Linked DNA regions of Pelodiscus sinensis. The protein of the gene in region 2 purifies or fractionates together with the protein of the main gene of each other region. This does not show direct contact. Links are inferred from orthologs where the notes say so. Each region holds a gene or a part of one and is shown on either strand. Other genes may lie near its edges.

What was found. The genes of interacting proteins can lie anywhere in the genome.
Region 1: the proteins of LURAP1 (region 2) and CDC42BPB purify together in Homo sapiens (co-immunoprecipitation; 3 studies listed by BioGRID and IntAct, with this or other methods). This does not show direct contact. The link is inferred for Pelodiscus sinensis from reciprocal best matches to the Homo sapiens genes LURAP1 and CDC42BPB.

Annotation. Positions count from the first base shown.
Region 1 is NC_134714.1:21,258,502-21,262,247, forward strand, and holds the start of CDC42BPB (serine/threonine-protein kinase MRCK beta), read left to right. Parts: upstream 1-1,475; 5' UTR 1,476-1,991; coding exon 1,992-2,169; intron 2,170-3,746. UniProt on the Homo sapiens protein: Serine/threonine-protein kinase which is an important downstream effector of CDC42 and plays a role in the regulation of cytoskeleton reorganization and cell migration. Regulates actin cytoskeletal reorganization via phosphorylation of PPP1R12C and MYL9/MLC2.
Region 2 is NC_134719.1:2,896,467-2,900,212, forward strand, and holds the start of LURAP1 (leucine rich adaptor protein 1), read left to right. Parts: upstream 1-805; 5' UTR 806-980; coding exon 981-1,172; intron 1,173-3,746. UniProt on the Homo sapiens protein: Acts as an activator of the canonical NF-kappa-B pathway and drive the production of pro-inflammatory cytokines. Promotes the antigen (Ag)-presenting and priming function of dendritic cells via the canonical NF-kappa-B pathway.

The DNA.
Region 1 (3,746 bases), on a different chromosome or scaffold from region 2:
TAATTCTCAGAGCTGACAACTCCCAGAATGTGCTTGTAATGTAATAAAAATGATGTAAACACTCTGACTGCTTTATTCAATGCCCCCTACAGTCCCAAATTCGTGTCAACACCACCACTTAGTGCTCTATTCTATTTGACTATTGAGAGCCACAGTCCCTGAACTCAAATCCTAGCCCTATGTTGGGTTCCATGGCTAAAAGTGGCCACAGTTGCCAGAGACAATGACTTCTTACCAGGGACCTTCTTGCATTATTCACAATGGCTGTGGCTCAGAGAGTTGAGTTCCAAATGTCCAATGTTGCATCAGGCCCGCAAAAGCTGGCAGTTGTAGGTATGGAATACTAATATAAATATGGCAAAGGCATTCCTTGCTGTCTCAGGACATGATTTATGTTGTGTTCACTGTCATTTTTCTATGGAGGGGAGGTAGCTCCTCCCATCTTAGTGAGGCTCAGAGATTGACTTGGCTATTAGAAAATGCCCAGTGAGATATTTGGGGAAAGGAAAGCTTTGAACTAGAACAAAAATTGCTTGGGCAGATTGGGATAGCTAGAGATATTCTTCATTTAGAAAGAGATATGTCGTTAAGTACACTTAATAGCAAGCTATAGGGTGTTGGTGTATATAAATAGTCCAACCCTTATATTATTTTAATGTTTTTGTAGGTAGATGGAATCCAGTTCCATTTGTTCTGGGTTAAACAAAATCCTCTTTTGTTGTTGACAACCTGTGGTATTACCAGTTATATTAGCTTTCATCACAGTGTAACACCCATCCCTCCCTCCCTCCACTGCTATGATCGCTAAAGCTCGGTCGGTGCTTGGAGGTGGGGAACCCTCAGATGCCTTGCAAACGACAGCAGAGCGAGCCGGCTCTGGAGCCGCGGTGGTCCCGGGAGCCGGCACTTGCCCTGCGTGCTCCCTGCGGCGGAAGGGTCCGTGGGGACACGGCTCTTGCACTGCCTGTCAGCCACGCTCCCGCTCCGCACGCTCTCACCCTAAGCCGGGCCTCCGCGCAGGCTGAAGGCGAAGCCGGACGCGCCCAGGCGGGGCGGGCTGAGCGTCCCTGGGACCCCGAGGCGCCAGCCCCGGCCGCTCACTCTCCTATTGCGGGGGGGAGGGGATGACGATCGCTGTGGGGTCTGACGGGGGTGGGACACGTGCGGCTGATGCCAGCCTTGTCTTCGCTGGGCGGCCGGGGTCCCACACCTGCGCTGGGGTTACCTCAGCCGCCGGCACGGCCTGAACCCCCGACAACATCTGCCGCCATTTGCCTAACGGAAGCCAGGGAGTCGATGCGAATCTGCTGAGGAGAAAGCAAAGCCTTCTCCTCCTCCCCCGTTACCAGGGAACGAATTTACTGAAACTAATCGGTTCGCCTCTGCCCAGGAATGACGAATCTGCGGAGGTCATTCCAAAGACACTTGAGAGCGGCCCTACCTCTACGGCAAACAACTTTTCCCAATACTCCTCGGGACAGCTTCGCCCCGCCTCACACGTCCGTCCGTACGCTAGCGTGGTGGGCGTAGCTCTGGGTCCCGGCTGGGGCCGCTCGGTGCTTCCTCTGGACAGAGCCGTGTTCGCTGCAGCTGAGGAGTCGCGGCCCCGGGTTACCTGAAGCCTCCGGTCCCATCAGGAGGAGCAACCGCGGCGGATCCCCGTACCGGACTCTGCGGCCCTGAGAGAAGCTGAGCGCGGCGGCCAGGCGGGCGCAGGAGGCCGGGTCCGGGCGGACCGGTCAATGGACCAGCCGGGCCTGGGGCAGAGCCCGTGGAAACAGCTGCCCAGCCCCCGGCGGGCCTCCCAAAATGTCGGCGTGAGGGGGAGGAGGAGACCCCGCCGCTGCCGGGCCCGGGCTGCCGAGCCGAGCGCCGCGGAGCGGATGGTGCTGCCGTTGCTGCGGGGACGCTGAAGCGTCGTCGTCTGGGGCCTCTGTGCGTCCCCGTCCCCCTGTTTGGGCCGGTGTTCCCCGGCTCCGCCCGGCGGCACCATGTCGGCCAAGGTGCGGCTGAAGAAGCTGGAGCAGCTGCTGCTGGACGGGCCGCGGCGCAACGAGAGCGCGCTGAGCGTGGAGACCCTGCTGGACCTGCTGGTCGGGCTCTACACCGAGTGCAGCCGCGACTCGCCGCTCCGCAGGGACCGATATGTCTCCGACTTCCTCGAGTGGGGTGAGGCCTGTCAGGGGAGGGCGGGCGGGCGGGCGATTCCCGGGGGTCGCGGTTCGGACATCTCCCGGCACGACGGAGAGGATACCCCTGGAGCTGGGAGCAGCTCTGGGCTAGTGAGAGCTGGGTTGGGGAAAAGGAGCAGCGCCAGCTCGTCATTTCTCCCTCTCCCCCCAGGTTTAAAGCCCATGCTTTGCATGAAGGGGAGATGCCGCCCATTGGGTATGACGCATCCCTTGGTAACACCCTAGCTGCCAGGATGTGACCCTTGAAACCCGGTAACCGCCGCCTCCCTTTCCAAAAGAGCCGCCTGGCTGCGAGTAAAAGGAGTGGCCCTAGAGTGCCCTTGGCCTGAAACCCTGCCTGGCTTAGCCTGAAATGTCAGGCTAATCCGGTGCCTACCTGGAACGGATGGGGTGGGGGCAGCAGGGACAGGCCAGGAAATTCTGCTTCTTTAGCAAGGCTTTGTGTCCTGTGTGTGACAGATTTGTTATAATCGGTTAAAAGAGGAAGGGGGGCTTGTGAGGAGGGTACTTCACATTTAGAGTGCATGCTTTAATCTGAGTGTACCTTTGAAGGAAAGAGGCAATTCCAGATAATCCATGTGATAAGTTTCATTATTTGTGTTCCATGGTATTAATCAACCTGACTGCTGAAAACCCACAAGAAAAGGCACGGGTGGTGGCACAGGATAATTTTTTTTTCTTGTAAAGGTGTATCTTTGTTATGAATTTTATTTATAGGTAGTGGTTTGGTAATACTATTAGACTGGATTGGCTCTACTCCCTGGTTTATGTTAAATTGGTGATGATAGCTGACCAGTTTAGGTTGTTTAAATAAATATGATTGGTGAAGGTGACTAATTTTCTTTGTGGCATAAAAAGCTGTGGGGGAGGTAAGGCTTATAAGATCTTGGGCACATTGCATTATCCTGTGTGTCACACGCATATGAATTAGATTGGTAAAGAAACACCCTATCTAAAAGGATTTCCTTGGGTGGGGCTATAAGGAAGTCTACATCTTTATCTTAATAAATACCAAATGCCTTAGTATTAGATTAGTGCTTTAAAATATCAGAATAGCTGGTTCTTAATTTCTGTGGGGACCACCACTCTTTGTTACATGCTAGCAACCTAAGGGGGATTCCATTTCTGAAGTTATCTATTGATGTCAATAATGTGATTGTCAACTGAATAATTAACAATTTCTCACATCTGCATTGTAAGTCTACAGCTATTGGTGCATTTGTTTTGTAGTGGAGCTTTTTGTATTTCATCTGCAGAGTGGATTCTTTTTCCATATCCTTGTAACAAATGCTGTATGATTTCACTTTGAGAATTTACTTGTTCATAAGTTACCATATAGTCTCTTACAATCATATGTTTATAGCTTTGTCCTGATATTGAGAAGGCAAGATTAGGGCAGATTTCTGGAGGATAAGGTACTTTCTCTACAGTTCTTTGGTGGTCTCATCCCTTATTGGACCACCACCACATTGTCATCCAGTGTGTTTATGACAGAATATTTATTCTGTTTCTACTTGTGCAAGAATAGGAGAAGCAATTTGACATATTCACTAA
Region 2 (3,746 bases):
CGGCTGTTGTCTTTGGAGGCAGACAGCTGCCAGCGGCATCCCTGTGGGAGCTAGGCCTAAGCACCACCCAGGAAGCCAGCGAGAGAACGGGGACTTGCGCCCAGCTCTGGCAAGCCTCCCTACTGCCCTGCAGACAGCCCGCTGCCCCTCCAGCACCCCCACCCTGGCGGACATTTCCCCCCTCGCTGGGGCTGCCAGCTGGATCTGGGGAGTTCATTCTGCTGTGCATCTCTCTTGCACACACACTTCCCTGGCCTGCACACACACACACTTCCCTGGCCTGCACACACACACGCACACACTTCCCTTGCCAACACACACACTCTTCCCCGACCTGCACACACACACACACACACACACACACTTACTTCCCTTGCCTACACACACACACACTTCCCTGGCCTGCACCTGCACACACACACACTTACTTCCCTTGCCTACACACACACACACACACTTCCCTGACCTGCACACACACACACACACACTTCCCTTACCTAAACACACACACTTCCCTGGCCTGCACACACTTCCCTTGCCAACACACACACTTCCCCGACCTGCACCTGGGCGCGCGCGCACACACACACACACACACACACACACACACTTACTTCCCTTGCCTACACACACACACACACACACACACTTACTTCCCTTGCCTACACATACTTCCCTACCCCCTCCCCTCCCCTCCACTTACTTCCCTTGCCTGCTGCGCCAAGCAGGATTGGTCCACACCGCCAGGCGCTCCCCCCCCCCCCCCACACACACACTTTTGCGCGTGCGCTCCACTCGGGGAAATAAGGCAGCTGCGCTGCGCCTACACACGGAGCCTTACGGCCGCGGGGTGTATCGGCCCGCGGGCAGCGGCCGGGCTGCCTGCAGCCGGGCAGGTGGAGGCGGCGGGGCCGGGGCTGTCGGGGGGCCGGGCTGCGGGGCAGAGGCTGCGCTAGGCGGCCCGTCGGGCAGGAGCGGGGATGGAGGGGCCGGGCTGCGAGCCGCTGCCCCCCGACCTGAAGGAGCTGGAGGGCAAGGTGGGGCGGCGGCCCCCCGACGGGCTGCTGCGGTGGCTGCGGGAGGACCCGGCCGCGGCGCTGCTCGGGGAGAGCCCGGCCCGGGGGCAGCGCCGGGGGCTGGCCGGCAAGATCAAGGCGCTGAAGCTGGAACTGGTGAGTGGGAGACCCCCGCCCACTGCCTGGTCTGCCCCCCCGAGCCCCTCCCCCGCCTGACCCCCCAGCTCCCTCCCCATCTCCCCCTGTCCCCCATCTTCTCCCCCGCTGCCTGGTCTGCCCCCCCCCCGCTTTCCTCTCCCGCCTGACCCCCCCAGCTCCCTCCCCATCTCCCCCTGCCCCCCATCTTCTCCCCCACTGCCTGGTCTGCCCCCCCCGCCTGACCCCCCAGCTCCCTCCCCATCTCCCCCTGCCCCCCATCTTCTCCCCCTCTGCCTGGGCTCTCTCTCCGGCTTCACAGCCTCCTCCTCACCTTCTCCCTCCCCATCTCCCTCCTCCCCACTGCCTGGCCTGCCCCTCCCCCGCCTGACCCCCCAGCTCCCTCCCCATCTCCCCCTGCCCCCCATCTTCTCCCCCACTGCCTGGGCTCCCTCCCCGGCTTCACAGCCTCCTCCTCACCTTCTCCCTCCCCATCTCCCTCCTCCCCACTGCCTGGTCTGCCCCCCCCCCCCGAGCCCGCCCCCCGCTTTCCTCCCCCGCCTGACCCCCCCAGCTCCCTCCCCATCTCCCCCTGCCCCCCATCTTCTCCCCCACTGCCTGGGGTCCCTCCCCAGCACCACCGCCTCCTTCTCATCTGCCCCCCCGCCTGCGCCTCCTCATCTCCCCCCCACTACTGGCCTGCCCCCCCAGCTCGCCCCCATCCTCCAGCTCTCTCCCCCTGCCCCCCATCTTCTTCTCCACTGCCTGGTCTCCCTTCCTAGCACCACAGCATCCTCCCCATCTTCCCCCCCCTCCGCCTGCCCCTTCTCATCTTCCTCCTCCCCCCTCACTCCCTGCTGCCTGGTCTCCCTCCCTGGAGCTTCAGCCTCTTCTCCATCCCCCCCCCTTTGCCAGTCCCTGGGGCTATACTCCTTCTCCCCATACTTGCCCCTGTCCCTTCCCATCACCCCTGGGGCCCCAATCTCTCTACCCCCCATGCCACTCCCACCTGCTCCCTGTGGCTTCTGGCAGCCCTGCTTTCCCCCTTGCCTGCCCCCTTGGGCTACGGCCTCCCACCTCCTCTTCCCTTCCCTCTTTGGGCTACAGCCCCCCTCCCCATCTGCCCCTCACCCTGTCTGCCCCTCGGGCCTGCAGCCTCCCATCACATCCTCCCTTCTCCACTGGAGCCACACCTCCCCCTTGATCTCCCCGGGGGCGAGGGTTGGGACAGTTCTTCCCCTCTCTGCGCTAGGGCCAACACTGCCCTCCTGCCCCATGGAGTCACCCCCCACCTCCTCTCCCTCTCTGCCCCATGGGGGGCTCAGGGCAGCACCACTCCCTGCTTCCCTGCCCCGTGGGAGGGCGGGGACCGTCCTCTCGCTGCCTGCTCCGTGGGGTCACCGATATTCTGCTCTGCCCATCGCTGGGGCATCTGGCCCCTCCTCTCTAGAGCCAAGCCTGGCTCGGTGGGTGGGGGAAGGGGTTCGTTGTGGTGGGAGAGCCCCGGGGTCTACGCTCTGAACGTGGGGACGTGGCCCCAGGGTTGAGATGCCCGACCCGGCTGGAGTTCCCAGCTCCTCTGGCAGTCAAGCTGCAGGCCCAGGGGGGGGGGGCAGGAGGAGGCAGTGTGGGGTTGGGACTGTCCCCTGATGTCCCTTTGGGTGTTGGCTAGGTCGGGGAGAGCAGCCTCCAAAGGAAAACACTGGAAAGGGGGCCACTGTGCTCCCGGCCTGTCTAACCATGGCTGTTTAAAAGCTTATCGTTAGGGAAAGGAGGAAAGTCTGGTGGATAAACCACACGGCTGGAGTCCAAGAGACCTGGGGCTCTTCCACTGAGTGTCTTGGACAAGTTCCTTACTCTTGTCCCATGCCTCAGTTTCCCCACCTGAAACTCCTCCCTCTAGTGGCTCGATTTTTGCTGGCAGTTGTGCGCATGCACTAGTCTCTCCCCTTGTCCATGACTCAGTTTCCCCTGCTATAATGAGGCCGGTGGGCACATTACCATATCTCCTAGTGGCTTGGGCAGGGCGACTTTTGGCTCATTGAATGTCAAGCGCTTTGAGATCCTTGAAGGGTAGCGGGCATAGAAGGGCAAAATATGATCTAGCCAAAAACTGGGTAGGCAGGTTTTTCTCCCCAAAAGAGCAGGGATCATCTTTTAAGTGTTATAGGCAGGGAATTCTAGCCCTCTTCCCCCTTCCATGTGTCAGCTGCTGTCTCAAGTCGCCTCTTTTCGCCGTCTGTGGCTGCTTCCTACCTCCGCCCCCCCCCCCCCGTTCACCGCCAGGAAGAGGGAGCTGGCCTCCTGCAATGTCAGCTGTGTTCTGAACACGGAATCCTAACGCTGCCAACGGCAGGAAGCAAGCAGCTGGCGAGTGACTCACGGCATCGCGACGGGGTGACTTGGGAGTCGGAGAGCAGTTATTGTCGTCAGGCGACCCGGCAGGCCGGAGGTTAGCGAGGAGGAGGGGGGAGTGATCTGCTGTAGGGGCAGTGAACCAGCCAATTTCCAACCCCCTTACTCTAGTTTAATGATTACAAGGGACCTTAGATTTATAGCTCACTGGAAAGACACACTACATCCAGCAACACACTG